Struthio camelus: one gene and its partner. The protein of the gene in region 1 purifies or fractionates together with the protein of each later gene. This does not show direct contact. Links are inferred from orthologs where the notes say so. Each region holds a gene or a part of one and is shown on either strand. Other genes may lie near its edges. The genes, in order: STRADB and CAB39.

Region 1 (15,329 bases):
ATTTATCTAGCCCATATTTTACTGTTTTTTCTATGAGCATGTTGAGTCACAGTGTTGAAAGCCTCACTAAAGCTGAGATAAACAACATCTACTGCTCTCCCTTCATCCACTGAGCCAGTAGTCTCATCATAGAAGGATAGAAGGCTTGCGAAGCGTGATTTTTCTCTTCATAAATCTGTGCTGACTACTTCCAGTCACTTTCTTGTCCTTTACATGTTTAGAAACGGTTTCAAGAATTATTTGCTCCTTTATCTTTTCCAAGTATCAAGTTGAGGCTGACTGGCCTGTAGTTCCCCAAATCCTCTTTCTTATCCTTCGTGAAGACAGGAGTGACATTTGCTTTTCTTCAGTTCTCATGAACCTTCCCCGGTCACCACGACCTTTCAAAGACTATCAAGAGTGGCCTTGCAAATGACACTGGCCAGCTCCCTCAGCACTCATGAGTGCATCCCATCAGATCCCACGGACTTGGGTGTGTCCGTTTTAAGTGTTCCCTAACCTGATCCTCCTCCACTGAGGGTAAGCCTTCATTGCTCCAGACCTTCCTGCAGGTCTCAGGGACCTAGGATTGCTGAAGGCAATCTTCACTTACCAGTGAAGATCAAGGTAAAGAAGGCATTAAGTACCTTTTCCACATCCTTTGTCACCAGGTCCCCTGCCTCATTCAGCAGCAGGCTCACATTTTCCCTAGTCTGACTCTTGCTGTTGATGTGCCTGTAGAAGCCCTTACTGTTCACATCCCTCACCGGATTCAATTCCAGGTGGGCTTTGGCTTTCTTAACTCTATCCCTGCATGTGTGGACAGTGTCTCTGTAATCCTCCGGCGTCATCTGTCTCTGCTTCCACTTCTCGTATGCGTCCTTTTTATGTTTAGTTTTGTCATGAGCCCCTTTTTCACCCATGGAAGCCTCCTGTCACTCTCACTTGACTTCAAGCTCAAGAATGGTCCAGCCAGATGAGCAGGGAGGAGATGAACCTTGAAAATCAACCAGCTCTCCAGGACCTTTCTTCTCTTCAGGGCCCTATCCCATAGGATTCCTTCAGGCAGATCCCTGAATAGGCCAAAAGCCTGCTCTACTGCAGTCAAGTGTTGTGATTCTGCTATTTGTCTTGTTCCCTCCATTCAGGATCCTGAACTCTTCTATCTCATGGTGGCTGCAGCCAAGGCTGTCCCTGATCTTCACGTTCCCAACCAGTTCTTCCTTGTCTGTAAGAATGAAATAAAGCAGAGCACCTCCCCTCATCAACATTCTCTTGGGCAGGAGAAATTCTAGCCCAATCACTAATCATTGCAAAAAGCTCACAGGATTCATGATTAATTAACAAGCTGTCGGAACAGTTTGATTTTTTTCCTTGCAGTTACTAGATTTTCTGAGGGCAACTTTCAGTAAGCTTGCTTTTTGAATAACTTTTTGACCATCATTTTAAATATAGACCATCGCTAGAATCCACATTAGCTCTATATTTTTCAAGAAGCACTAATAACTTAACTTCAGTGACGTTTTTAGCATGCTAAAGTGTTGACATATAAAAGATTAGTTATTCTAGTTTGTCAGGTCTTTTCCATTCTTATTCTGTCCAAAGAACTGGGGAAGAAACAGCGTATAAGCTTGTTGGAATGTGCGCTTCTTTGCTAAATTGTCATTGGTGTTATAAGAAGGAATCATTGATGACAGCCAGCCATGTTCTTAGAAAGTGCTTCAGGTCTCCATATTCGTCAATCTTTATTTCTGAGTTAAATAAGTGCTTTAAAAAGTAAAAGCCTCAGAGTTGTTCTTACTGTGTTTAGGATGTAAGCCAGGCTTGATACAAGAAAAACTTCCTCACAAGACACAGTATTTTTCTTCTCTGTTTTCCAACAAACATGCTGAAGTTATATCCCCTACCTTGCAAGTCCTTTTGAGGGACTTTAATATGATATTCAAAATTAATAAAAGGAAAAAAAAAACACTCAAGCATGTAATATACAGTTAAGTAGGTAACAAATAATAGCAACAGGAAGAAGCTTGCAAATGGCCTTATTAAACATGCATAAAATGCCAAAATTACAATTTTCTTTGGTTATTTAAGCTTTGATCCAGAGACTGTTCCACTGTTGGATGAACTATGGTTACGATCTCTATCCTTGGTCATAGTCAAATGCTGCCAAGTAAGCAAATTCAAATCGCTTTAAAGGAGAAAAGATTAGATAGTTACAAGGCAATTTAGTATCATAGCGCTTGGGACTACAGCTAGAGCCTGAAGCTGGTAACAGATCTGTTCACAAGGGCAATCCTGCCTAAAAGATGGGATATGTCAGCAGCCTCATGCCTGTTTTTTTGCCTACATCACACAGAACACGTGTAACGTATAGAGTGCAGTTACACAAAGTATTAAAAGCACCACAAACAGCTGGATGGCATCCCAGAAAATAATCACCTCGGGACCGATGAAATCGTTTCTATTTCTAAGCAAAACTCTTCATGTATTACAAGAACTACAGTTCTCCAACAAACAACTGAATCCTACATTCCTTTTTCACGGAAAACTCATGAAAGCCTAACACTGAAAGTTGCGGCCTCTAGGTCTCATAAAGTAAATGCACTGGGCTGTGCCACTTACCGGCGGCAATAGCTGTGCCACATGAGCGGCAAAGCAGTGAGCTTTTGAGAAAAACTTTCAGAGCCAAGAACTTGCATTGCCGTTCTTGATTAATAACTTCAGCCCGTAAATTGAATGAGCGCTCTCTGGACGAAAAGACTGCATTTCTTAATAAACATTCTCTACAAGTCAGGTCTGATAAGTATTCTAGAGACATGCAACTGAAGGAATTTGTAACTAACAAGTGACTTTTTCCTTTGTTTTCTCACAAAACTCAAATCCTTGTCCAATTTCAAAGATGCCATCCAATGCAAGGCGAAATTTTTTTCTTAGTCTGGCAACTTTCCAGCTCTCTAGCAAGGCAGGGAGAAGTCCCAGGAATTTATTTGTAAATTTTGCTACGAGCTGTATTAAATTTAAGAGAACTTCCTTGACTAAATTTATTGCATGCATACAAAACTTATAGCAGATTCACAATTACACATTTTCAGAAGAGGTCTAAAATTAAAGATCAGGAAGTTTTATCCACTAATATAGCAGACTTATATTTCTAAAAATCTTTCAGTGGGGCTTTCCCAACAGACTCCTCAACAGAGACTTTCTCACCGGATAAGTGGAAAGGTTTTTAAACAGTAAGAAACAAGGGGAAAAAAAGTGCTTTCATAGCAGAGAGAAGTATTCAGTGAGGTTTCTTCACAACTGATCCTGTATGACATAAAGTGGAAAAACAACTGGGTCATTTTCATCTCCAGTTTCTGCTGTACACAGTTAAGTTAATACCTATATGCACAAGACACAGCTCAAATAGCAGCGCAAGTGGTTTTTTGTGAAATAAAACAGAATTAGCAATCCATATGCTAAAAGCACGATGTAGGTACATGGTGATGAAACATTAACAGAATTCATAGTTGCACACATCTGAAAATAAGCAAACTACAAGTCATTTAAAGCATGCAGTCTTACTGCAGCATTTTCTAGTCACACTCTCATATTTGCATGTATTTATATTGTGTATTTACAACTACTCTTCCCTGCATTTCAAAGATTTAAGTGTCATGGAGAAATGTGAGATAATAGAACAATACATTTCACAAAAACTATTTCCTAGAAAGTTTTTTTCACTTACAACTACATGACGCTGGCTGATATTATTTCAAAGTCACTATTTTATTTTATGCAATTAGTTTAATCATCTGAAAAAATATTTCCTCTGTAATTCTTAAAAAAAAAAAAAAAACCTCAATAGTCTATACAGGAACCAAATAGCATCAATTAAAAAAAAAAAACACTATGGTAAGTGCTACAGCTATTTTACATGACTAGAAATTTACTATTATGTGAGAAGGATACTTTTAATTTCTGTAGATCCACACAGCCAGGATGGTTTTAATTCAATAATAAAAAGGTAGTCACTGTAAAGTGAGAAAAATTCAGCTGTGCAGGAGAGAGTTTCTTCACAAAAACTCTTGAGTCTTTTCCCTTTATTTTTAATTTATTAAAATGCAAACGTCACTTCCTTTCAGATTTGATTTAATATCTCTTCTAAATAGCTGAAAGCAGAACTACTATTTGTTGTGGGTCAACAGCAGTTCAGTGTGGGAGGGACAAACAAACAAAACCCTCCATCATTTGGCTGGAAGCATTCTAGAGCGCCAGGCCAATATCAAGCTATTGAACTGAAAGGGCGAACTCATTAGCCGAGTCCTTGAGAAACTTGCTAGATGTCAGCATTAGCTTTTATGGTGTTTGCACATTTCCAATACTTCTCATAGCTTTATTCCACTGTGCCCTAGGGCAGCATTTCTGAAAATCAGATAATCAGATAACACACTGTGCAGTACCACCCTGAAGGTGACTCCATATTCCTTTCACTCTGCAGCACTGCAACTATAAAACTACTCCCTCAGTGCAGCTTCCTTCTGCAAGTTACATCTAGCTAAAACCCACAAGATTTACAACATGGCTGTAAAATACATGATCCTGATAAACACAGGAACATATATTTCAGGAATTCAAATAAAGCTGTTATATCACGCAAAAAGACATAGCCAAAGCAAAAGCCATAGACTTTCTCAGGTATTATTTTACTCCTAATTTAGGATCGACAGTCTTCCCTCTGGAAGCACATGACACAAAATACATACGTATATAAAAATTAAACACCTTTTGGAAAAAGCAGACAGTGATTACGGAAAACTGTCACATAATTTAGGTCCACTACTTGTACCATCAAATGAAAAAAATTAAAATATTCAATTTTAAACATGCTTGCTTGCATTGAAACACTGAATTTACACTAGCTCCATTTGACTCTCAGAAACTTAGGAATAAAAATCAAGTGATTAAAAACAGAATATAAAAATACATTTTAAATTATTTTGAGTATGGAAACTAAATGAAAGGCAAAACACCCAAACATAACTAAGATATGTTTTTTTTTTCCATACAGGTTTTCAGTTTTAATAAGCTAAGTTGTTAATTAGAGAAATAACTGCTGAAGGATTGAAAATGCATTTATAAATTGATCCTAACTTTTTACGTTGTCTGTACAAGCAGACAAGGCTGCCTAAAAAGCAAAATTGGATTAGAAATGTTTATTCGATATCTTACGTATTAATAGAGTGCAAAGCACAACACTGAGCTACTGAAAAATAAAAAAGTTTTACATTAACCTACTTTAATTGATTTATGTATTTTTTCCTAGGTTTTCTTCAATTAAAGTTCTAATTTGTCAAGTGGACACTCAAAAGAGCTACTAGCATCAGAGATATTGAAGAAAACACTTCCTTTTCAGTATAGTTTAGTGTCAGAATTAGTTAAACTTGTATTTGAGCAAAGACTAGTATTGGGGGGGGGGGGAGGCTGTTTAAAAAAAAAGGAGAAAAAAATCTCTCAAAAGCAGAAGTATTTGTATATCATATAAAAATAGCTCCATCGTACCTTGTCATTTTCTGGCTAGCAATTAAAGGACAGAAACTTTAAGCATTATGCTATTTTTTTATAGTACCACCTGCCCTTCTGGGAATTTTATTCTTAAAAGAACTTCTTTGACAGATACAGAGTAGCCTCTGGTTCTGCTACTACTTTGCCATGTAAGAGCGGTAACTAAACATTTTCTTATTAGAATTTTATTTTATTAAATATTTTAAATTTTGAATGAAAGGAGCTTCTCTGCTTATTTCATAATCTTTATCATATAACCACACAAAACTGATAATACAGGGGATCAATTTAGTCAGCATACATGAATTCTATATCAAAACATCAGTTTTAAAGTTAGCTGTAAAACCCATGCTAGCTTCCCTTTATAAAGAAGGGAGTAAAGCTTTCAGTCTCATGTTGGAGCATTAACAGAAAAAACAGACATTAGCGACGAAATAAAAGACAATAGCACTTGTATGTTTTTCCTTACTTTGCTGTAAAAAAAAGATGGCCCTAAAACTTCTTTTCTCCTCATTCCCGCTTTCACAGTCTCATGCTCCTTTTTTAACCATGGAACAATAAGTAACGCCAAGGACTGGTATCCTAAGCTCTGTCACCAACAGCAGAACAGAAGAGTGCTACTACAGTGCACAGACAGGAACTGCTGTCTTATGACTTAAATATTTCATGTTATTTTTAAAGCTATAAAGCTTCAATTCCACAAATGGACTCTCTTTTTTTAATTGTTTGAAAAATTCAGTTCAATAGCTGAAGTTCATTGTTTTGTTTCCCAAGCATTTTAATAGTTACAATTATGTATTCACTAAAATAAACCAGACTGATCTATATGACCCAGTCACAAGAGTGCTGCCATTAATCTAACTAGATAAAAGCATCTGTCATCTCTTTGTAACCATCTCTGTGAAAATGCTATTTTGCATCTTCCTGTAAAACTTCTCAATGAATCACTGGTCTGTTCTTCCTGCAAAGACAGCCTTTCTGCTATGCAATACTCACCCCAACAAGCCTCTGTTATAGTAAGAGCAAACCACCATCAAAAAATTCTGATACACGCTGTACTCCTTAAAGCAACGTAGAAAACTGAGAAAACAGACCAGAATTTAAAGTATATTTAGTCTACCTGACAAGCGTTACTTATTAGCTGGTGTATTTCCCTTCTCCTCCTGATTCCCGATTCCTCCAAAAGAGTTCTCTTTCAAACAGGTGAGTTGATGTTTGCTGTACCAGTATCTGTACCTTCACAGTCTGCACATCTAACTGGGCAATATTAGGTGTGGATGGTAATTGGAAGGGATGGAAAAAAAACAAACAGGTTGTCCTTTAGGCAGTGGAACTAATGAGGCCTGGGTTTCCACAGATGTGTTCTACTTTTTTCATTCCTCCTTTCTCCATCGCAATAAACCCAACTCTAGGTATGCTACAACTTGCGGTGGAACCTGAGTATGAAATAAGAAAGGAAAGGATTGGTCCCTTTCATCTAAGGATGTCAACATTTACTCTGTTAATTTTGTTCAAACCTCACCACAGCTTGGCTGGCATACACGTGAACTACAAATTAACTCCTTCAACAATATATTTTGCACTAACTTAGCTTAAAAAAAAAAAGTACAAGATAATAAAAGATTAACTTCAATACTTTCTATATAATGTTGTTAGCTAACATGCTTAAGCAACCATAAGACAATTAGCTAGTGGTGCCTCTAGTGACTGGTTACCATTGCACAAAGGACTCCTGAGATGTCTGCCTATTTCTGCTCAGAAATGCACCTCTTGGTCTCAAGAAAAGACTGCAAAGCAACATAGTCAATTTTAGGTTAACTTTCAGACGCTTTTCACATAACACAACCATATTATTTACTAGCACATTAAATATTTGTATCATACTGTCACAGTCAGTCAACAATAATTTTGAGGCGTAACCAAAAAGCATGTATTCAACAGTCTATAGTTGAAGATTGTTTAAAAAGGGGGGAGGAGGGAGGCCAGGAATGCAACTTTGTGAAGCACTTTGTCACTAGTACGGTTGACAGGAAAAAAACGTTTACTGACAGATACTCTTACTAAAGTTTAACCAGAAGATTAAAATGCAATTGTAATCGAAAGGTTAATGAGGCCTAAATCTCCTGCCCTCACATCCTCGAGCGAGCAGAACCACAGCTCAGATTTCATCGAGCTTTGCTTTATAAGAGCAAAGACACCAACCTCCAAGCAGAGCAGTCCGATTAGCGGTACCCCTAGCGCATGGAGGAGCTCGACAGCACGCTGAAGGTCGTGACATCCGTCATGCAGCAGTAACCGATATTTGCAGCACGAGTCTAGCGAACCGCGCAAGCCCGCGGCGCCCCGGCAGCCACGCCGGGCACAGCGGGCGCGCGGGGGCCACCCAGGTGCTCGGGGCCCCCGAGGCCGGCGCGGCGGTCCAGGCAACGCCCCTAACGGCTAGGGGCAACGCGGGCCTGCCGGGGCTTGCGCAACCGGGCGGCGAGGAGGGGACTCGCCGTAGCGACGGGGCCGCCCCGAACGGGCGCCGAGCCCCTCTTACCCGCCCCGCGCTTGCCCTTGCCCCGGCGCTCCCCGCCGCCGCCGCGTGCAATACCGCGGCCGCCGAGGAAAGGCCCACTGACTTCCGCCCGGTTCCCGCCGCGGCGGGACTACAGCTCCCGGCAGGCCGCGCGGCGGGGCGGCACCGCCGCCGCCACGAACTACAAGCCCCGTGACGCGCCGGGGCCGGGGCCAGGAGCGAGGCGGGGCTCGCGGCTCGGCTGCGCGGCGCCGGCCCCTGGCCTCGGGCGGCGGGTAGGAGCGGCGGCCGCCGGCGCCGCCTTCCCGCGGGGCTGCCCGGCCGCGGCGGGGGCAGCCGGGCCGGGCGGGTCGGGGAGGGCGGGAGGAGCGGCGCCGCCGCTGCACGCAGGCACGCCGAGCTCGGGGCAGCGGCGCCAGGCCGTCGGGCAGCCCGGGGCCGGGGGAGGGGGGGCAGCCGTGTACGAGCGAAGGGAGCGAGCGGGAAGCTGTCCCCTGAGGGGCTCCCGGGGCGCTGCCTTTCCGTATACCGTACTTCTGCCGCAGGCGCAGTCATTTAAAACTCGAGGTCTGTCATAAAGAACCGTTTCAGTCACTCAAAACGCGAAAGTAACTCAGTGAGCTACAGCCCAGGGTTAACAAAACTAGATTAAGGCGCAGTCAGGGTACCTGGGCTTTGGCTGTGGAGCTTCGGCCGTCCCTGAGGTTCACAGACACGTTTGTCTGTTGATCGATGAACTTCCTTCCCACATCGCCCACCGACTCTGAAGCTTTGGGCATGTTGGGATGAATGTGTCCGATCAGCTGTATGCTGCTATCGCAATCTGCAGTATACAGGAAGGCTGTGATACAAAAAAGAAAAACGTGGAAAGGTGGAACAGGTTTATGTAGTGATGTGATCCAAACCATACAAGAAAATGGAGGCAAAGTTAGATTATGAAACAAAAAAAAGTCTTAAGTCTTACTAGTGTTATGTGAACAAACGTGGATCATGGACAGCTATGTTGGCTAGCTATACCCTTTTATAGCTTTTAACTAGTTCGCCAATAACTTCGCTTCAGTGTATCCTAGTTACTAGGACTTGAATCAGCTTAGCTTTTGTGGTTTCATATTCCAAGCAACAGAGTAACTTACCTCGTATAATAGAATAAGCCATTTTCTTTCCAGCTTGGAGGAGGATGCTCTAGCAGTGACTGTGCTGGACCATGTCTTGGAACATCGGCGGTGTCTCCAGCTCTGCCACTTCCTTTGTGAAAGTGGGTAAGTCAAGCCCAGATCTTTTGAAGAAGTTAGGCAGCAAAATATCACCTACGGATCTTTTTAGCTCTCTTTTCATCTATAAGACACAGTTACAGCATTTCCTTACTTCAAGTAGCTGTTGAGGGTAAAGAGGATTAGGAGATGCCCGTTAAGGTATTTTAGCAATAGACGGGTGGTGGGAGCTTGTTAGATTTTTCAAGAGCGTTGCCAGGATTAAATGGCATCCGTAATTTGAATGGTGCATGTAGTCAAGTTTAGTGCCTTGATAATCAAAATCATCAGTTACTCGTATAGTACTTCACCTTTTTAAAATTAACTTTCAAACAATAACTACATATTAAAATGGAACTACCTCCTGTAGCTTTGTCAGCCACCAAGAAGGATTATTCATGGCAGAGAAGATGCACACTTGCAGATCAGTGAGTAGCTAAAGGAAATTAGCTAATCCCACTCTGCCCTTCAGAAGCTTTGATACGCTTGTTAGACATTGTCATCTTCCTCTCTCCTCATCTCCTAAATTTTCAAAGCGTTAGATAGAAAACAAGTCTGCTGGAAGACTTTGAGTGGCTAGGCTGATGTGCGAGGGAGTTTGGGCTGAATGCCGATTCTGTAACCTAAGTAATGAGAAAGCGATCCGAGTTGGTTCCTCTCCTTTTTAACTCCTGTTCTTCATGGTAGTACTTTCTTCTCTTGCTTGTGACATACACAGTGCAGTTGCTTCTGGCTTGCTTTTTTCATGAGCTAGTTCGGCTGCAACAGCTGAGCTGAAATCTGACTAGTACAGCTGTGCTCCTTCAAAGCAATAGCTGATTTTTCTTTTCTATAAACTGCCAGTGATCCATGAATCTGTTTCCTTTTATTTTGTGCACTTATGCAGTTGACTTGCAATTCAATTGCTTGTTCAGGAAAGTTTAGAAGATATCCAAACCCATTAAACAAAAAGGAAAACAGTAGTTGGAATGTACATTGCATATTCTCAGTGTGGCATTTGAAATCCATGTGCTGCCTAAAGACTCAGTACAACTAAGTAGGCCTCCCCGGTTTTGTAGAAATTCTTTGGAATTTTTGGAATTTTTTTGTATGTGATATAAATTTTAGTAAGAAGAGGTATTTTGATAACTGAGAGGAACACCTCACAATTTTGATTAAAAAGAGACAGACATTTATGCTCAGGATTTCTCAGTGCTGGGCCACAGGTTGATGTAAAATCTTACAGTGATACTTTACATTTTTCTAGGATAAATGGATGTATATGACTTTTCCCCTGCTCTAAAGAGGTTCCATGTCGTGTTTGGTAAGTTTATTTTTAAAAAGCATCGATAGTTGCACCTTGTTATCCAGTTATAACTCAATGTGAAAAAGTTCTAGTGAAATGTCTTGCTGTACAGTTGAAACACTTCACTTGAAGGATTTCCACAGTGATGAGATACTTAAACTTTGTAATACCAGCTTTTGCTTATGGAGGATATTTAGTTTCTCTTCTCTCTAGGTCTTACCTCTTGCCTGACTTTCTGAACTACTGCTCATAAGGGCGTTATTTCTGATGTTCTCACATGATCACATTTAATAAGTTATAGCAAGTCTACTAACATTCACTTGTTTCTGTTTTCAAGGACTGTTCCTGTATTCTACGTACACGAGTTGAATCAATCAGACCAGAAAAGCAATCTCAGAGCAGCATCCATGAATATCTGGTAAGAAGAAAATAAAAATGTTAACTGGCAAAGTTATACATATTAAAATTACTACATACCAACAATAATCTCACTAAGTCAGGTACTTTTTCAAATATTAACTTAGAAAAATAACCAGAGTCCTTTTTGGGGCTTCCACTTTGGAAGAAGACTACAGGTAATAACTAACTAAAATAGCTCATGTAACTAAATCTCAGGATAGTGGTAAAAGCATCAGCTTGAGTGTTGTGACTTCAGTACTCGATCTTTGCATTTTCATTAATGCTGTTTCTCTGTTAAACGTGCAAGTGTACATAGTAATTTTGAGAACTGTTTTTTCCTCACTTGTAGGCTGATTCTGATCTAGCCTGGATTCCCCCAGCTACAGGAGAGAATGAAATGATGTTTTGCTCTTCCAATGTCTCTCACTATGAACTCCAGGTGGAAATAGGTAAGCTAATTGTACCATAAAATACTACTTGTTCTTGCAGATGTGTTCTCTTGGGGCATTGCTTACTTCAGTGAATACTTAGTAAGGCTGGCAAACCTATCGGCCGAATAGAACCATTCTTGGGTCTCTTTAGTTAAGGATGAGAGAGGTTCTGTGCTTTTTTCCAGTTATCACTTATTTTAAAAATATAAAATCAGTTATCTGAATTTTTCTCTTGATGTGAGCATATGTGTGCACAGCTCAGTTCTCTACGCTTGTGGTTATACGGGCAGTAGATAACACATTAGGTAACACTGTCTTGTCACTTGGCTGCCTAAGATGATTGTCCTAAAATAGCTGCCCTCAATCTTACTGTGCCTATATCTGTTTATGTGAATGTGCGTGCTAGAAGCATTGTTCATTTACATGTGGAAGATATGTAATTGATGCTGAAAAAACGTTTAAATGCTTTTAGTTGCTCTAAAAATAGAAAGAGCCATGTTTTAACTAATTTGATGCATGTATTTTGCTGCAACTACTTAAGTTATTGACATGCCTAAAGAAAAAGACATGCTGCTATATCAGAATTTTAAAATGATCTCTAAATATGAAGCAAGTTATGGGTGCATTATTATATTTTTGCCAATGTTAACCAAGGTAGCCACTTCTGGTTTCAGGAAGGAGATTCAACAACTTAACTTCAGTCTACCTTGCACGGCATACACCTACAGGGATGCAAGTTGCTGTAAGGATCACAGACCTAGAAAGTTGCTCTGAAGAGCATTTGAAAGCTTTGCAGGTAAAGCAACAGCACTGCTGCACTAGTCTGATGAAGGCCCCAATGAATATATATAAGGTTACTAAACAGAGGTAGCCCTCCTATATGAAATAGGTCATTTAAGTTTTTCCTTTAAAAGAGTACAAAGCACGGTAAATATGAAACAGAACTACTTTCCGAATAAAACAGTTAACAAGTGTTTTAAAAAGACTTCTGTAATTGTACCAAGTGTTTTCCTTGAAATACGTTCTGTATTCTGCATTTACATCACAACCTCAAACTACATTTATTTCAGACAAATGCAATCATAGGCAGGGTATTTGCCTATTTTTTTGCACGCTGTGCACATCAGCTGCAACATTAGCATAAATGCACACAGGGAACAATTCTTTCTACTAACTGATGTAATTAATGTTCTTAGCAACAGTTGTCTTCTGGTTAACATAACCACTTTTATTTAATTCCTTAGAACGAGGTGATTTTATCCCACTTTTTCCAGCATCCCAACATAATGACACTTTGGACAGTGTTTACAGCTGGTAATTGGCTTTGGGTCATCTCTCCGTTCATGGCATATGGTAAGAACTGTTAAGTGCCATTTTCAAATAAGAGAAAGGGCCATAAGAGATTTTTCTTTTAAGCATCTTTTGTCCCAAACTAAAGAAGTCTTCCATACATGTTCTTCCTCCCCAGTGACGTTTGGCATTCAAACTGCATTAGCTTGCACTTCAAGTCCTGACATCCACTATCTGAGGAACGTTAGCTGGGGAATGCATTTGACTTGATGCACTTTTGAATTTTGTCAACAGAAAACCTGTCTGGATTGAGTACAGGTTCAATTAACAGAAACCTGACTTGAGTGTGATCTTTGCCTGGTGCAAGCTGCTTCCATATAAGCGTTCTTCATGTACCATAGTCAATACAGAAGTGAGAATACTGCTCTTTGTGAATGCAATGAATACTTGTTTGCTTAGCTAGGTTATCTTCTCTTCTCTTTCAGGTTCTGCTAGACACCTGCTGAAAACTTACTTCCCTGAAGGAATGAGTGAAGCTTTGATAGGCAACATTCTGTTTGGCGCAATCAGAGGATTAAATTACATGCACCAAAATGGCTACATTCACAGGTAGGAGAAAATCAGTGACATAGGTGAGAACCAGATTACAGCTGAGAGCTCAGTTTCCCTTCAAAACCCATTTTCAGCTTTTCTTAAGTGTTGCCTCCTTTCCTTCTTCTGTATACCTTTTTATGTCAGATAGTGCAGAAGCATTTTTTTTTTTAAATAACAGAGCAGAATTTAGTTTGTAGAACCTTAACAAGAACGGTATCCAAACATTATTTAAACCTGTTTATAACACCAGTCCTCTTATTTAAATCAGTGTGTACATCTGTCTGGTTCTGTCTTTCTGAAGCTGAAGAGAAAACAGTTGTAGAGAGGGCTTGCTTGCTTTTCACCCTTTGCAGAGAAGGAAAGCCCTTCTCCAGTTTCTGGCAATCAGTTTTTCTTGGCAATCATTTCTGCCCTCACTTGAGGTTGTATTAAAAAGACAACTCATACTGAGTGTGTGATAATAAACTGCTAAACAGAACTGTACTTTAACATCTCAGTATTTTATGAATTAATGAAATATGAAAGCTAGTACTGTTTTGAGTAATTTGTATAACTAAAATTTACCACTTTGTGTTACAGGAATATTAAAGCTAGCCACATTCTGATTTCAGGGGATGGTCTGGTTTCTCTCTCGGGCTTAAGCAACCTCTACAGCTTAGTTAACAATGGACAAAAGTCAAAGGTGGTATATGATTTCCCCCAATTTAGTACATCCGTGCTTCCTTGGCTGAGTCCTGAACTACTGAGACAGGTCAGTACAAATTACACTTCACTTTTGCTATCCAAAGATACTAAGTAGTTAATTTCTGGCTTAAGTTTGCTTGTAAAAGGGCAGTGGAGGCTGCTGATCTGCAACTTTAAAATTAAACAAAGAGGTACTGAAGTTATTAAAACTCTCCTTTAGAGAAGAAGTTTCTAAGCTGTTGTTAAGACGCTGCTGTGCTACTTTCTTCTTCCTGGGAGCTACTGCCGATCTTAAAATTTGTCTTCAGTTCACCAGTCAGATTTTTGACCATAGTATCAGGTTTCACACCTCACTAATTATCCCATTCCTGTGTAGAATATGGGATATCCTGAAACGGGCGTTTGTATTTTGGTCTGCCCTGATCAATGGCTTCAGTGATTTAGGCTGATTCTCTTTCTCCCGCAGGATTTGTCTGGGTATAATGTGAAGTCTGACATTTACAGTGTGGGGATTACAGCATGTGAACTAGCCAATGGACATGTTCCATTTCAAGATATGCCTCGCACTCAGGTTTGATGCTAAATTCTATTTCTCCTTCAATACACTCAGAACTTTTTTTTTTCTTTTACTCAGAGAAATCAATGCTATTACTATTGAAACAGTGGCTGTTCTTTGTTATTTCAAATCTGCATACTTCTTCCTAGACCAAACTCCAGGAATGGAAAGATTATTTAACAGCTTAGCCTGATTAGCTCTAAACAACTGCTGGACTCTGTTATACTTCCATTCCTTTCCACTAGATGCTGCTGCAAAAGCTGAAAGGTCCCACGTATTGTCCTTGGGATATAAATACCTTCCCCCGTGGGGAATCCAGGATGAAGAATTCCCGATCAGGTGTTGATTCTGGAATTGGTGAGAGCATGACACGCACAATGACTAGTGAAGGACTGCAAATTCCCTTTTCCAAAACGTTTTCCCCTGCTTTCCACAACTTGATAGAACTTTGCTTGCAACAGGACCCTGAGAAAAGGTAACCTCCTGGTAAAAGCTAGCTTTCTGTCACTTCAACCTAAGACCAAGTATAGCACACAGTTTAGGATCCAGTAATTAGCTGAATACTGCTAATATCAGAATTTCAAACAATAAGTACTATACTAAACACTACACTTACCTTTGGTTTTGTACTTTTAAGAATTATCTTGTCTGAGGAACCATGCTTTTAAAGTGCTGACTGATCCTTGGGACTGAATTTCTTATCATATTAATGTTCTGTGGTTAAATAAGAAAAATCAATTTCTAAATATGCATTTTTTCCAAGAAAAAAAACAGTGAACTGAAGTACTTGGTTTTC
Region 2 (15,308 bases), on another chromosome or scaffold:
TTACCGTGACTCGAACCGACCAGCGCCGCCGAGCCAGGAACAAAGGGGAGGCCGAACCGGGCCGGGCCGGGCCGGGCCGAACCGAACGGGGCCGGGCCCGCCGTCCGCTCGGCCGTCACCGCGCCGCACCGTCCGCGGCCCCACCCCCCCCCGCCAGCCAGCCCCGCCGCCCCGGCCACCCGCTAACGGTCCGGCCCGGCCCGGTTCGGCCCGGTCGGGGAGCGGCCGCGGCGCCCCCCCCCCCCGGCCCGGCCCGGGCGCCTCCTCGTACCTCGGTGCGGAGCGCGGCCTGGCGCCTCGGCGGGTCGGGCAGGGCCTGCGGCTGGCGGGCCGCGGCCCGACGCACCGACCGGCGGCACACCGCTCCCGGCAGGCAGGCAGGCCAGGCGGAGCGGCGCGGCGCGGACCGGCTCGCCCTGGCCCTGGCCCCGGCCCTGGCCCCCTCCCCCCCCCCGCCCCGCGCCGAGCTGCTGCTGCTGCTACTGCTGCTGCTGCTACTGCTGCTGCTGCTGCTGCTGCTGCGCAGCGGCCCTGCCCCTCGCCCGCCGGCGGAGCGCGGCCAACAGCCGGCGGCAGCAGCGGCGGCGCAGCGCAGCGCGGCACGGCCACGCTTCCGCCGCGCTCCCGCCCCGCCGCGCCCCCCGGCGGCCCGGCGGACCCAGCGCCCGCCCTCCGGCCCCTCCCCTCCCCTCCCCCCGCCGCCGCCGCCTCGGCCCCGCCCCCGGCCCCGCCCCCGGCCCCGCCCCCGCCCGCGCAGGGCGCGGACTCTCCCCTCCCCCCGCCCCGCCCCGCCCCGCCGCGGCCCGGCGCGGCGCTGAGGCCGCCCCAAGGGGCGCCGAGGTTGTCCCCAGGGAGCCCCTGAGGCGGCCCCTCGGGGATCTCTGAGGTCCCCAAGGAGCCCCTGAGCTGGTCCCCGAGGGACCCCAGGGGGCCCCCAAGGGGGCCCTGAGCTGGTCCCCGAAAGACCCCCAGGGGGCCCCCAAGGGGTCCAGGAAGCACGTCCCCAAGGACCCCTGAGGCAGCCCCCAAGGGGGCCCTGAGCTGGTCCCCGAGGGACCCCAGGGGGCCCCCAAGGGGTCCAGGAAGCACGTCCCCAAGGACCCCTGAGGCAGCCCCCAAGGGGGCCCTGAAGCACATCCCCAGGACGCCCCTGAGGTGGCCTCAAGGAAGCCTCTGAGGTGGTCCCCAAGGGACACTAAGGTTGTCCCTAAGGGACCCTGAAGCACGCCCCCAAGGCAGCCCCTGAGGTGGTCCCCGAGGGACCCCCAGGGGGCCCCCAAGGTCCCTGAAGCACATCTCCAAGGACCCCTGAGGCGGCCCCCAAGGGGGCCCTGAAGCAGGTCCCCAAGGACCCCCGAGGCGGCCCCCAGGGAGTGCCGTCCCACCCCCCGGCAGGATGCCGCAGAAGACAAGCTCAGCGCAGTAAGGGGCTGCAGCCAGACAGCACAGAAGCAGGACCTGGAGGGGCCACACGTTACCCCAACCTGCCCCCCAGGGGACCGCGGACTCCTTATGGAAGCGCTAGAAGAAAAAAAAACCTGTTTCACACCATAATTAACGTGTTGCACAGGCGCCAGCCCTCCGATAAGCCTGCAAAATCCGTTGGACAGCTGCGCGACGCCTTCCCCCTCGCCCAGGAAGGCTGCCGGTGGCCCGCATCAAAAACACCGCTTTTATCTAGGGAGGCAAAAGCCCCAAGAATCCCCCGTATCTGCAGCTTGGCAAACGAATACTCTGTGTATCGCAAGCCTTCAGCAGCCAGAGAGAGAAGCAGGGCTAATTCCTCCCCTTTTCACGCAGGGGAAAAAAAAATCCATTAATTTCTTGATGTTGCGTCATCCAAAGCAACAAGTACTCCCTGGGCTACTAGGCACCGCATGATCAAACAGCGAATCTGAAGGGAAAGCGTGATTCACACCTCCGTATCACCACTCCCTAGCTTGCTGACCCACACAACAAATAACACCACCCCGTTGCCCAGAGGGCACCTTCTTTCCCGCAGACAGTGCAAACGCTAAGACGCGGAGGCCCTAACAGCCCCCAGAAAGGCTGAAAAGCGCTCTTGGTCTTGTTTGGGGGAAGGGGCTCAGGTATGAAGAAGTCTGGAAACAGTAGGTTAAAACTTCAAAATGCCAAACTGCAAACCACTGGGTGAAATACGTAGTAACCCAGGTAGTAACCTGGCTAGCTGGTTAGTCAGGCTTGCAGAGGGAGAAGAGTGCGAGGAGGACAGAGAGACTTCTACTCCGGTGCCCTAGCACACCAGGAAACCAGACAGAGATATCTCCTCACCTTATCAGAAATAACATGGCTTTTCAGCAGAAAGCAATAATCGCCTAACTCATGCAACCTTCGCAGAAGTGCACGCGTGGGCTGCCGCTGCTCTTCGAACGCATCCCCCTGATCCTAGCCTGTTTCTCATTTGCTCTGCTAAATCATAAAACGCAGCATTAGCCATTGCGTTCCTCTCTCAGCCGACGGAGGTGACTAAATTAGGAAAGTGGCCCCGCTGTGAAGGCAACGGCCCATGTTCCAGCAGCGCTGCCGGTGCTGGGTGCTTAAAGAGAGGGAAACACGCTCACGCCCACATCTGGCCAGAGAACCTGAGCCTACCATCTCCAGCTTAGCTGGGGCGGTTTTCAAGGGGACAAACACACAGCTTGCCTGGAAAACAAGCTATTTATTTTTAGCATGCTGTGACCCAAAGTTGCTATCCGCTCCACGTGGGAAAGGAGGGAGACGTGCAGGCAAGCCTGTCCAGGGTGAGGGATCCTGCCTGCAGCTGTAACTTGGGCTGGCACCACGCCCACCTGCCTTGCTCCAGCACTGCCCTGCTGCTGTGGTGGTGCTCCCATGGTGGAGACCACAGTGGAGGTGCTCCCACAGCGGGGGCCATGGTGGAGGTGCTCCAGTGGTGGAGACCACAGTGGAGGTGCTCCCACAGCGGGGGCCATGGTGGAGGTGCTCCAGTGGTGGAGACCACAGTGGAGGTGCTCCCACAGCAGGGGCCATGGTGGAGGTGCTCCAGTGGTGGAGACCACAGTGGAGGTGCTCCCACAGCGGGGGCCATGGTGGAGGTGCTCCAGTGGTGGAGACCACAGTGGAGGTGCTCCCACAGCGGGGGCCATGGTGGAGGTGCTCCAGTGGTGGAGACCACAGTGGAGGTGCTCCCACAGCGGGGGCCATGGTGGAGGTGCTCCAGTGGTGGAGACCACAGTGGAGGTGCTCCCACAGCAGGGGCCATGGTGGAGGTGCTCCCATGCTGGAGACCACAGTGGAGGTGCTCCCACAGCAGGGGCCATGGTGGAGGTGCTCCCATGCTGGAGACCACAGTGGAGGTGCTCCCACAGCAGGGGCCATGGTGGAGGTGCTCCAGTGGTGGAGGCGGTCCACTGAGGAGCAAAGGAGCTCTGCAAAGGAGAGAGCGGGATCGCACGGGCTGCCTCTTAGCACCACGCAGCCCCAGGACCCGCACGCCTTCCAGAGACCTCTGCACGGCCCGGCCCCCACGGCTCTGGGGAGCACAACCAGGGCAGCCCTTGGGCACTGTTTTGGGAGAACTTCTGCAGTATCGCTCCCCTGGGCTGGAATACCTCTGTCCAACTATGTCTTGGTCACTATCTTCTTTAACTTAATTCTGCTGAAGGGAGTTTATATCCTTGACCCTGCCAGAAAACTTTTTTCTGTGTCTCTAGCCTTGGGCTTCGGCTGTATTCAGACTTTGGGTCCTGATGCAGTATTGTATATTGCGCTTGGACTTTAGACGACTCCTTTCATTGGACTGCTGATGAATTACAGTCCTGAGGTTTTCTGCTAGTTCTGCTCATGATGTGGAACAGGTTCAGGCTACTTCTGTGCCCCGGCAGGTAACAGCAATATATTATCCTCACTGTGCCAAATGCAGATTAGCCTGAGTTGAAAAAATATATATACCCAAACATATACATATATATATATATGTGTCAAGTTGCTGCTGTCCAATAATACAGTATAATACACAACATGATTTTAAAGAAGGATATATTTTTATGGAACAAGTCATTAATTTCTTACAAGCTTTGTTCTGAGAGGAAAACTTGCACCTGCGTGTCTGATATATTCGTGCTGCACAGCAATTTGGGACTTACTGGCCTGGTTTTTAGAAAAGTCCTTAAGCTCCTCACGCTCTGCTGCACTGCACATCTTCAGCTGACAGTTTCTATCTTTGGTTTCTTTTTAATTACCTCTGCCGTGTTACATATCTCCACATTACTTCCCTCTACTTTGCTTGTCACACCGGGGGAAATTTTTCTGCTGTGGGTCTTAGTGCCCTTATTTTCTCGATAGCAGGATGCTCCTGTTCTGGATTTCTCCTGTTGCGGTTTGCCTTTTCTGCCATAAAGGAAGAAAGCCGTGTTGGGAAGGCAGTGCTGCCTCTTGGTGTCCTACACGTGCCTCAGGTGGTGGCTGAGCTGGAGGCGCCAGTCCTCTTCCTCCGCCCGTCGCTGAGCGTGCACGGAAAGGCTCGCGCTGAGCCTGCCAGGTGGAAAGCTCGCGCTCGCCCACGGGGCCGCGCGGAGGAGGGCCCCGTCAGACGCGTACGGGCTGAAGCGGCTATGAAGAAACGGGACGTTTCATTTTCTTTTTCCCCCACTTCACATGGTTCCCCGCTCCGCGCTGGGCACCCTGCAGTGGCAGAGCCCAGCTGGAGGAAGGCAGGTTTGGAGGCTGATTTTGCTCCTCGTCCAGCTGGAGCAGGACAACTGGAAAGCTCTTCGTGAAAGAGGTGGAAACGGGAGGGTTTGGTCCATTGACAACTCTCGTCTATGGAGGAAGGATTTACTCTAGTCACCGTGAGATGACTGGGCAGGGAATTCCCCTAGCACCACCTGAACGAGTGCAATGGGATTTCCACATGCTGCTGGACCTGTACACTCCCCTTGAGGACCGGAGAGTCATCCTCCACACACTGCTCTTCCCAGATACCTGGCAGACCTGCCCTTCCCCTAATTAGAAAGTTTATCAAAAAAAAAAAAAACCCACGAAGGTAAGCAAAAATACACTCTCCATACCCAAACAACAAATACGCTCGCTGGCTCTCTCACCACACGGCTCCCGGGAGCTCGGCAAAGCCTGGCAGCTCGGCAGAGCCTGGTCAGCATACCCCAGCGCCCACGGGTTGCATTTGCAGCTCTACCTGCTGCCCATTCTGGGCTACCTGTAGCTTTTAGCTGCCTGACCACAACCTCCAGCGTTTCACAGCCTGGCTCCTCACCCCCTTCCCGGGCCCTTCAACAGCACTGCTTGCAGCTCCCAGCTCTCTCCTCCAGGTTCAGCCCTGGGCTTTAGTACTAGTGACAAGGGAAACCATAAACCTTCTTCACAACATAAGCCTGTCATTAAACAAAGAAAAAGCAGAATACTCATGTGGGCTGAAGGGGGAAAACCTGATGATACAGTTGTTCCCCCCTCTCTGAGCAGCAACCGTGGTGTTTCTGGGTAAACAGGCTGACTAAGACAAAATGAAGTTGCTGGTGCTGTCTCTGATGCGGACAGATATTCCGAGACCTATGAAACACCTGGCAAACAGACCTCCTGAGTGTGTTTCACCGCCCTCGTGAACCAGCCTGCCCCGTGAGCCGCATGTTACAGCTCACTTTCAGAAAAATGCTTCTGACCACACTTGAAACCATCCCTACCTGCAATAGCATTTAAGTGCATAGGAGCTTTGTGTTCAGCTGAATAGTTGGGGCCTCTGCCGAAGCGCCGTTGTAGCGGGGATGCTCTCCTGCGTTGCAAAGTCAGGGTCCAGCCTTGCACTGTGGGGTTACTCCCATGTGTCCTGCAGCTGCTCAACACCTCGTGACCAGGACATCAGAGGCAAGCAAGCGCAGATGGGATAGGCAGGGAAATGAAATGGGAAGGTGGGGCCGAAAAAAAAAATCTACTTATGGTGCTGGTTCATCTCAGATGGACCCTGCGGTTCTGAACGTGCAGCAGGAGGGGGGACGCGCTGCCCGTGCAGGGTGGCACAGCCGTTGGGTACCATCTGCCAAGCTTGTCTGGGCCCACAGCACGCGGCCAGGTAATGCTGGCAGTTTGTATATCCCACTTACGAGCTGGAAATCATTGTTTTCAAAGCCAACATCAAAAGGCTGAGCATGTCTGAGTTCAAATTGTTACCCTGTAATTATGTTAAAAGCATTCAAGTTTAAACAGATAATATTCAGGGTGCTGAACAGAGCAAGTCATTAGAGGCAAGCACTAGTACAGTGATGCAACACCAGAGCCTGGAAAACAGACACTACTGCTTTACAAATGACCACTGGAAAAGAAACCATGCAAGTAACCTGTTCTGCATAATCACCACGAGCATGTAGTATACTTCGGGGAAATCCATCAGCAGAGCGAGCATAATTTTTCTAGGCTCTACGAAGCAGATATTAAATTCAACGTGTGAGAGACCGCCTAGCACAATAGCAGTTCACTAATTCACAGCCACGACTGAGACATCCACCGTGAATTACTTAATTCTTACAAATTAGGACATGAATAAACATGATTAAAAAAAAATCTAAGAAACTTTGCTGGAAAAAAAAGCAGTTACAAAGGCAAGTACGTAGATGCTCTGCTCAGCAGGAGCAGACGGCTGAACGTGATCTTAAGGCTTTTTGCTGCAGGTCCAAGGTCCGAGAGCCCTGCTACTCAGCTCCAGCTCGTCTGGCCATGACCCTGCACCAAAAAACAGTGGAAGTGGGGGAAAAAATTACTCCATCTTGTGAAATGGTGCAAATTAATTCTCTTTCCAGCACCTCTGCTTTGCTGACCTCATTTCTTCCTCTGACTGTGCCTTAAGCAGAGCCCCTGAGCTCCTCCTGGGGTGACTGACCCCACACAGCCCCAGTGATCTCCTCGGGGCCAGCCTTCCTCAAGGCTCGCCGCTGCTACCAGCAAACGAAGGCACGTACCCTGCAGAAAGCACCACCGGCTGGTAGGACGCAGCCAAAATGCCGATTGGGCCGACACGTCCTTGGAAGAGCATCATGCTTGCAGGATGCTATTCAGCTAGGGTCGGTTTCTTTAAGAGATCAGTACGGTTGCCTCTAAAACACGATCTTACAGTAACGCAGCCAGCAAAAGTGGCCTGAGGCAACCTATAAGGCAGAAGCTAAAGCTTAATTTACTTTTCTCTATTAGAGGGGGGAAAAAAAAAAAGAAAAAGGAAGAGCGGGTGCCAGGGCCACGACCAGCGCCCATCGCGCTGGGGTTTCCTGCAGGGCCGCGCACCACCAGTCACGCAGTTGTTTCTATTTCCCTCCCACCAAATATGGAGCGGAGCTGACATGCTAGTCACATGCATTTTAGCACAATGATGTAACGGCATCCAACCTCCTTCGCCTGTCTCTGATTAAAGACAAAAAGCAAGAGTCTCGGACCTATTTGGAGAAGGAGGCGGAGGCCTCCCGTCACAGTCCCCACTGCTTCAGCCCTTGCAGCCTGCCACACGCTCTGCAAGTTATTGCTTAGAGCGTGGAAACGCCCCAGCAAAGGTAAACGTCACCCCCCAGAAAGCGGCACGCAGAGGTTTACTGGCGCTGCTGTAAGCAAGCACTCACCGATACCAGCCCAGCTCGCACCGAGGAGCCCAGACCGGAGCAGGAAGGTAGGAAAGAAGCACAGGGACAGAAGTAAGACGCTTACCGTAGCGTGCCACAATCATCCACGCGACAGCGCAGAGGTGTCCCCGCTGCCTGACTACGCGGCCATCTCAACAGTCAGCTGAGCTAACGCCACAGACCATTTAAAACAATAAACTAGGTCTTCCTTCCAGCTCGCCTCGACAAACATACAAAGGATGAATAAGGCAAACCAACCCCCAGCGCTCTGCTTCAGTTCAAGAAGGCTTGGCCGCGGGCATGCCTTGATATGATTCAGAGACCAAAACCCAGGCTAGTGCTCCCTGACAAGCGCTTCAGGAAAGGAGAGGGAGAAAATACTAGCGCTAGGAACCGCTCCGGCTGTGCTAAATACCTTCTACTGAACGTTTGGAAGAGCAAGAGTCCTGAGCCTTTCCGTGGGCTTCTGACCAAGCCAGGCTGAAGTGGCTAAATTTAGTCACCCAGGTTTCGCAAGTGCTTGTGACTTTGCCCGAAACCGTGCTGCACCTCTGCTAGGCTTTGCACGTTCAGTCCAACCTCTAGAAACTTTTCTCAAAGACACACCCGTCGGTGAGCATTTTGTTGACTTTCCGTTCATTCGACTAATACACGGTGAACAGACTGACCCCCGCCAAAACTTATCCGCAGTAGAACAGCCCAAGTGAATCTAGTGGTCACCCGTATCAGGAAAATTTTTCTCTCAGGGATGCTATGATTTATCCTCGGCTCAAGCTGTCGTTCCCGAATTAAAGCACATTGAAAAAATATTATTGCAAACCACAAGAATTAAAAGTAGCATGTAAAGATTGTCAGTAAAACAGCGAGCAAAATAATCAGAGGAAAAAAATCTGTTGTAGACTCATTTCCTGGACAGCAACAAGATGAATGTGTCATTCTACAGAACCACGTAACTTTAATACACTCTTTATTTCTGTGGCACAATTGAGAATTATCTATACAAATGCAGCATCCTTTCCAGTGAGAATCTACTACGCTAAAACCAAAAAAAGATTTCCATCAGCTTGGTAAACTTGATAAAAAGGAAATAACGCAACCCTCTCTGAAAAACAGCGCCCTGGAAGAATGCATTTCCTGGGTAACAAAAGACCAAAAAAAACCCATAGTCAAATAGATGACTAACTCGACAAAACTGCAAGCAAATACATCGGTGCATCTGAAACTCTGCAGGAAAGAAACGGGTTCCAGCTTCAGTTTTCCTACTTTTAATAAGACGCGTGTGGGCTGCAATGCCTGAAGGGCGCTACGCTGGCCAGGTCAGGCCCGCGGGCCCCTCCGCTGGCCACCGACGCGGCGAGGGGGGCACAGCGACCCGCTGCCCTCCCCGCTGCGCCCAGCGTTTCACTGGAGGAGCACTCGCTCCCCTCGGGGATTCAGCGCGCCCGAAGGGCCGTAACCCCCCGAGCCGCTCACCCAGGTCAACGAAATCCACCCCTGAGCCGCCCCGGTGAAACTTTACCTCCTGCTCTTTAAGGCAGACCTGCTTTTCCAACTTTTATTTTTCTCTCAGCACTTATGTTCTCCCACTTTTAATAATTTTCTATTTTAAATAGATAAAAGACGAAGACAATTCCTGCGCAGGTTTATGTCAGAGCACAGGAAGCAAAGAGTTAAGACCTCGGGACGCTGACTTGTTTTAGTGACTCTTCCTCAAGGTCAGTGCCACCAAACCGACCCTTTTTGTCAGCCGTGCTGATGTAGAAAAGCTCATTCAGAAAGCCAAGCCGAGCAAAGAAGCAATGTTTTACCAGCACTAGAAATACGTGTGCTGTCATCTGCTTTCACGTTGCCCGAGTAGGAACGGAGAATGAAAAGGGGGGGGAGGGAAAACCCAAAGGATGAATCAACACGTGGAGAGGACAGATGAGCTGGGAGCATCTCCAGCTGCAGCGAGCGCATCCCAGCAGGATCCAGGTCTCCATCCCCACAGACGCCTGGCCTTCGGGTCCAGGTCCCCATCCCCATCCTGGCCTTCAGGTCCCCGCCGCCCTCGGGCTGCGATTCACCGCTGGGTCCTCCTCTCGGCTCGCTGTGACGAAGGCCTGATTTGGAAAAACAGCGTTGGACTTTGCTCCCCGAAGGACTCCGAGCGAACGCCGCCTTCGCCGCGGCCCCTGCGGAGCGGGAGCAGGAGCATGTCGGGTGCCCTTGCCAGGTTGGCTCCGCTCACGCCGTGGCAGCGGCGGCCGCGGGCACCGAGCGAGAGCCCGGGGACCTGACCCGCAGCAGCCAGTGAAACTGTACCAACCTCCACCTTTTCCTTCCCTGCCCCTTCAGGCTGAACGTTTGAAGGCAGAGACGGTATTAACCTTCTCCTTGCTCGTTTTCTTTGTTCTTTTCACTCCCTCGCTCCATTTTAGAGGAGATATGAGTGGAGTTTACTAAGGTTCATATTTAAATAGCTCCCATTAAGCTCTGAAGCCCACACCCTCTGGGGTAATGCTGTAAGCACTTCCTTAGCGCTTTACACCTTCAAAGGACTTGCAGAAACTAATTAATTAGCTCTCCCAGCAAAAAAACCTGCTACCATGACTGGCACGAGATTAGGGCTGTGGGGTTTGCTGCTCTGCGGGATTTGGTCTGCTTTGGGGCTGAGCTGACAGGGAAGCTGCTGCACTTCAGCTGGAAGCCGAGATCTGTGCTGTGGCCCTCCAGCAAACGCGCGTGGACAACTTCCACGAGCCTCTCGCAAGCTTCTCTGCGCTCTTCCTCCTCCTCCTCCTCTCCCGAGCAAACGCTGCCTGCCAAAGGAGGGAGGCGCGCTGCGTTCCTACCTTTTCCCACCTTCACGTTCAGGCGCTTGAGTGGGCAGCCCTGATTTTGGGAAGTGCTGAGCCCCCTGTTCCCCCAGCTCAGCGTGATTCAGCTGGGTACCTCTGAGAAGGAGCTCATGTACGTAGGTGGCTAACTCAGATCTAAGGCTAAATTTATATCTCTGAAAAAAATCTTAAATAGGCAGGTGTGTGAGAGAGTAGTTCCCTGTATGTGTGTACAGCCACCCACACAAACCAGGGAAAGGGAAGACACAGAAACAGACCACCACCTTCAAAACACAAAAAACACCCTTCCAATCAGCCGCTTGGATAGTTCCCATGTTTCTCTTGTTTCTTAAAGGAACAAACCAAGGGCAGAACACCTAACAGTAAAAATAAACAAGAAAGTAAAATTGTGACGATGGGTTTGTTTGTTTTTTTTTTTCCAAAAACCACCTCATTTTTACATGCCTCATGATGGAGAGGCTGAAAGTGGTGCAAGCTCTGTTTTCCCCCTTCACAGACTGGCTCTTGAAGCATCACACAGCTTTCCGCAGCAGCCCAACAGCTCTGTCTTCTCCCTGCTTCCTCACCCCAGGAGGGTCTGTCTTCTTCCATCTAGTGTCACAAGAGCTGGCAGGGTGCCCGAGACCCTCGGGTTTCCCCAGAGTGATAAGAAATCCTCATCCCTATAAAAAGACAGTCTCCTAGATAATATTTGGAAAAGAAAAAAAAAAATTAAAGAAATTAAAGACGGGAGAGATAAGGCTAAAACCAAACAGTGTTTCTAAAATACAATGTTTATAAAACAACGGTATAAGAATTGTCCTTGCTTTTTGCTTTAATAGATATTTTAAAAAAAAGAGAGATAGAGAAATTACTTTAAAGAGCAGGATGTGATTTTATGCACAATCCAGGCTGGATGTGGCTTGCAAAGTCCGAAGATCCTGCGGCTCGTGCCCTCCCATCCTAATCGCCTGTGTACTCTGCTGTCCCCAGAAGCCAGCTGAGCTGCACCAAGAGCGAAGTGACAAGTGTGTTAAAAAATGAACCAAGTGTTTCATCACTTCTTCCGGATGCTGCAATTTCAGCCTCTGCAGAACCAAAAACAAGTAGCATATTAGAATCACTGTTTATAAGCACATTGCCTTCCTGGCCATCTTTTTGCACCCTGCGAGAGAAGCCTGCCTGCACAAGGCCGGGGACAATGCATTGGCACGAACGTTGCAAGTTCCTCTTCCTGCAAAGAATTAACGATGACCAGCCTCGTTGCTTCATTCATGCTGACAACATATTTTGTGTCAAGGGGTCAGGACGTGGCGTCAGCACATGTATACACACGTACTATAAAAAGAAAGCTGCTGTTGGCACGTGGCCGAGTCAGGATGAAAGCTGAGTTTACTCATAGTCACTGAAGAGATATTTGTCTCACAAAGGTGAAACTTACCCCAGCTCCTTCTGAGCAATGGAGAAGCCAAGAAGGAACAGGCGGTACGGGATGTGCAAAGGCTGCATATGGGGTGCTGTTCTCCCGTTTCACCAGGGTTTGGGGAGGCAGGCACAGATGCAGAAGTTGCTGTGAAAGCGAAGCTTACTGAATAAACTATTTGCTGCATTATAGATGAGGCATGTTATCAGGTGACACCTGGTAACATTACACACACACAGAGTGTGACAAAGCCCAGAGCTGCCCTCTTGAAAGAAACAAATCCTGGGACGCCCATCGAGGAAAGCTCAGGAACTGCTCAGAGCACTCCCTCAAAAGCTCGCTTTTTTTCTTCATCAAGCTTTGCTCACTTCCTCCTTCACCATCGCTCCAGCACAGACAAGAAGTTAAAGCTTTGCCAGCATGTCACCACCCACACAGCTTATCAGATTTTTTTCTTCCTATAGCTCACTCTTGGCCTGAGATCCCATGTTGCAACCAGCAGCTTTCTGGCTGAGAAGTAGATAAGACTTCCTCCAGGGCCCAGGAGCTAACTGCTAACTGGCTAGACAGGTGACACGTTGAGCAATGGCAGGAACATCAGCGGATCCTTAACACAAAGGCTAGAGGGGTGCAGGTGAAAGAAAAGTTGAAAACTACTCAGCTAGTACCGTACTGATAATTATTTCCTATACCAAGAGCCCACTCATGAAGCTGCTACAACCAACTCATGCTGAGGAACTAAAGCAAGCACTAGCACGTTTTGGAGTACTCCTTTGGAAAGGAGCTGGATTCAGAGATGTCATTAGTCCATTACCTCCAGGGAATGGCATTTCCAGGAGATGTCCAATACCACTTGTGATCAAAGTGCTACATGTAGCATCATCCTATGCCACGGATGTCCTCTTTCTCCATATGCAAATGTCATTTGAGTAGCTGAGCTTCCAGCTGTGCTCCTGCCCCTATCTATACCATGGAAACTGGGCAAGACATTGCTCTGAGATGCGACCCCTCGAGCATGGACAGCAAAGATGGTTGTGAGGACATGAACTCTCAGTCTTCATTGGATGTGACAACAAGGCTTAGGAGAACGTGTAAGCAAGGTCACTTCCAAAACAGAGGCCAGAAAGACAACGAGGATACCAAGCAGGGCAATCTGCCTGGGAGCCCTTCTTTTCATAGCCTATTTCCCAGTTGTCTTTCCTTCAGTCTCAACAGCACCATAGCACGTGGTCTGCTGTTCAGTCTGTCCCAGGTCTGTTGGAGGCAGACATGAGCTCATCCAAATTCTTTCCCCCCAGCCAAAAATATGACTGCACAGAAGGAAGGACAGCTAAGGAAAGGCAAGGTAGTGGTTTTGTGATAACAGAGGGGGCAGCATTCAGCTCCTGGATTCCTTCCTCCTCTTTCTCTCCACACAACTCTCTCCTAGCCACTTACCTTCACAAAACCTTCTCACCTCCCACCCATGTGCCAAAATCGGTGACCTGGTACACATGGTGTCACCCCACATCTGTCTAGGTCAGCTCCAAGTCAGCCCAGGACCGTAGGAGGAGGTGGAGTCTTGTGGAGGAACATTTTTTGGAGTAAACATGCAGGCACATGAACATGCCGATAACTAGCCAGGCACCCGCAAGGCACGAGCCAGCAGACACCGTTAACCCCTCGTGGTCTGACCTGCTCTGTCACACTATTTTGTTTACAACGGACTTTTAAGTCTATCTTCAGGGGACGTAAAGCCTCTCTTGAAGCAAAGACGGCACTTGACTGCATGGTGAAGGCAGGGCGCCCTGTGGGGCTTCCCAGCAGAGACAAGTCTGCTGGCACAGCACCTCACAGAGAAGCTCCTGGCAGGGCTGGCACCCCAGTTCACCTGCTGTGGCTCCCCTCCGCTTCCCTAAACGAGGCCCGTCTCTGCTATCCAGTCACGTGCATCAACGCCACGTCCCCCCACAAGGCCGGCGCACGGAGGGGTGCCCCCGCCACCGGCCTCTCCCCAGCAAGCCATCGTCTGCAGGCAGCGAGCCTCTCTGCTGCCCCCAGCACGCACGTCACGGGGGCTCTGACGCCTCAGCGGGCAGGACCGGCCCTGCTCCGTCCACCCTGCGGCGTTCGGGGCCATGCTGGGGGCCTGGGCTGGCTCAGGGGCCCGGCTCAGCCGCTGGGTGCTCAGAAGCGCGCTTAAGCAATGGGCAGTATTTGCCAGCTCACTTTGGCAGCCGCAGGAGATGGAGAGCAGGCCTCAGGTCTGCACATAGCGCCCCGGCCTCTGCCCCGAAACTCTCGCGAGAGCAGGAACCTTTCCCTCTGCTTTGGGAAAGCTGCCTGCCACTGAAGCCACAAAACGCCTGCCACGCTTGGCACGGCACAGGTAGGCGGCAGCCCGCCAGCCGTGCAAGCCACCGCCGGCAGGGCTTCCAGTGCGCTTCCCCACATCCTCCTCGCAGCGCCCAGCTGCTGGTCTGCGGAGGTGCAGGCCTCCAGGCACCTCAGATCGCCTTCCCCTCGCAGGCCTTCTCCTGTTTGTCTCCTTCAGGCAGATTACCCTCTCCAGCCCAGTCCCACCCAAAGGGCTCAGTCCACAAAACCAGCAGCGACAACCGTTGACCTCATTCAGGGACTTGCCCAAGGTGACTCCGATGGTGCTGCCAGATCCCCTGCCCAGCACTCCTTTGCCCAGTCTTGGCTGGTGCCTCCTGCCCCTGGGCTGTGCTCTCAGGTGGCTGTCATTACAAAATGAAATGGCTGCAGATGCTCTCCTGCACACCTCAAGCACAGAGAAATTATCCCAATCTGCCCAGTTACCCCAGCGTGGCCAGGGTGCGGGACGCATGATCCTTGGGAGGACCCTGCCGCACCAATTTGAGAGGTGATACTGTGGATACAACTTACTGAACGGAGGTCAATCAGGAAACGTAACCCTGTTCCCCTCTGGGACGATCTGGCAGTGAGTAATCACCAAGCAGCACCAGTTTACATACCTCTGCCCTGGGAGTCATCCTACCTGCCCAGACACTGACTGTACCCCTCCCGAGCCGGCAGGTCCAGTCACCTCACTGGCATCTACCGCTCTCCTTCACATCCTTCTTCCACTGCAACACTTTGAAGGTAAACCACCCCTCGGGCGACACCGGACTTCAGTACGGACTGCTTGTGATTTACAGCCATTGGAAAACCGACAGGTTTAAACCTTTTAATAAAGGGATTTAACCCTCATTTTTAAACCTCAGCTTTGAACCAGAACTAAACGTCTGAACCCCTCCCCGGACTAAAAACCTTTTAGTTATTTTGGCAACCTCTTTAAATAAAGAGCCTCTGCCTGATGTTCGCTTGCTTACAGCAACACAAAACTGGAGCCTACCCACCAGGGAGGGAACGCAGGGTCCAGAAGGTGCTCTGAGGTGCACGTCACAGCTAACTCGTTCTCCATGCCCCAAACAGCAGCTACCCCAGCCATGGCCTCCAAGCTGCCAG

What was found.
Region 2: the proteins of STRADB (region 1) and CAB39 purify together in Homo sapiens (affinity purification with mass spectrometry; 3 studies listed by BioGRID and IntAct, counting the BioPlex papers as one, with this or other methods). This does not show direct contact. The link is inferred for Struthio camelus from reciprocal best matches to the Homo sapiens genes STRADB and CAB39.

The regions. Positions count from the first base shown.
Region 1 is NC_090947.1:10,283,836-10,299,164, reverse strand, and holds the start of STRADB (STE20-related kinase adapter protein beta), read left to right. Parts: upstream 1-7,731; 5' UTR 7,732-7,791; exon of another isoform or gene 7,792-7,863; intron 7,864-8,259; exon of another isoform or gene 8,260-8,319; intron 8,320-8,712; exon of another isoform or gene 8,713-9,210; 5' UTR 9,211-9,303; exon of another isoform or gene 9,304-9,311; intron 9,312-10,540; 5' UTR 10,541-10,585; coding exon 10,586-10,597; intron 10,598-10,916; coding exon 10,917-10,997; intron 10,998-11,327; coding exon 11,328-11,427; intron 11,428-12,083; coding exon 12,084-12,205; intron 12,206-12,653; coding exon 12,654-12,762; intron 12,763-13,184; coding exon 13,185-13,308; intron 13,309-13,872; coding exon 13,873-14,044; intron 14,045-14,443; coding exon 14,444-14,548; intron 14,549-14,778; coding exon 14,779-15,008; intron 15,009-15,329. UniProt on the Homo sapiens protein: Pseudokinase which, in complex with CAB39/MO25 (CAB39/MO25alpha or CAB39L/MO25beta), binds to and activates STK11/LKB1.
Region 2 is NC_090950.1:9,265,858-9,281,165, forward strand, and holds the start of CAB39 (calcium-binding protein 39), read right to left. Parts: upstream 8,162-15,308; 5' UTR 7,700-8,161; coding exon 7,681-7,699; intron 416-7,680; exon of another isoform or gene 272-415; intron 143-271; exon of another isoform or gene 1-142. UniProt on the Homo sapiens protein: Component of a complex that binds and activates STK11/LKB1. In the complex, required to stabilize the interaction between CAB39/MO25 (CAB39/MO25alpha or CAB39L/MO25beta) and STK11/LKB1.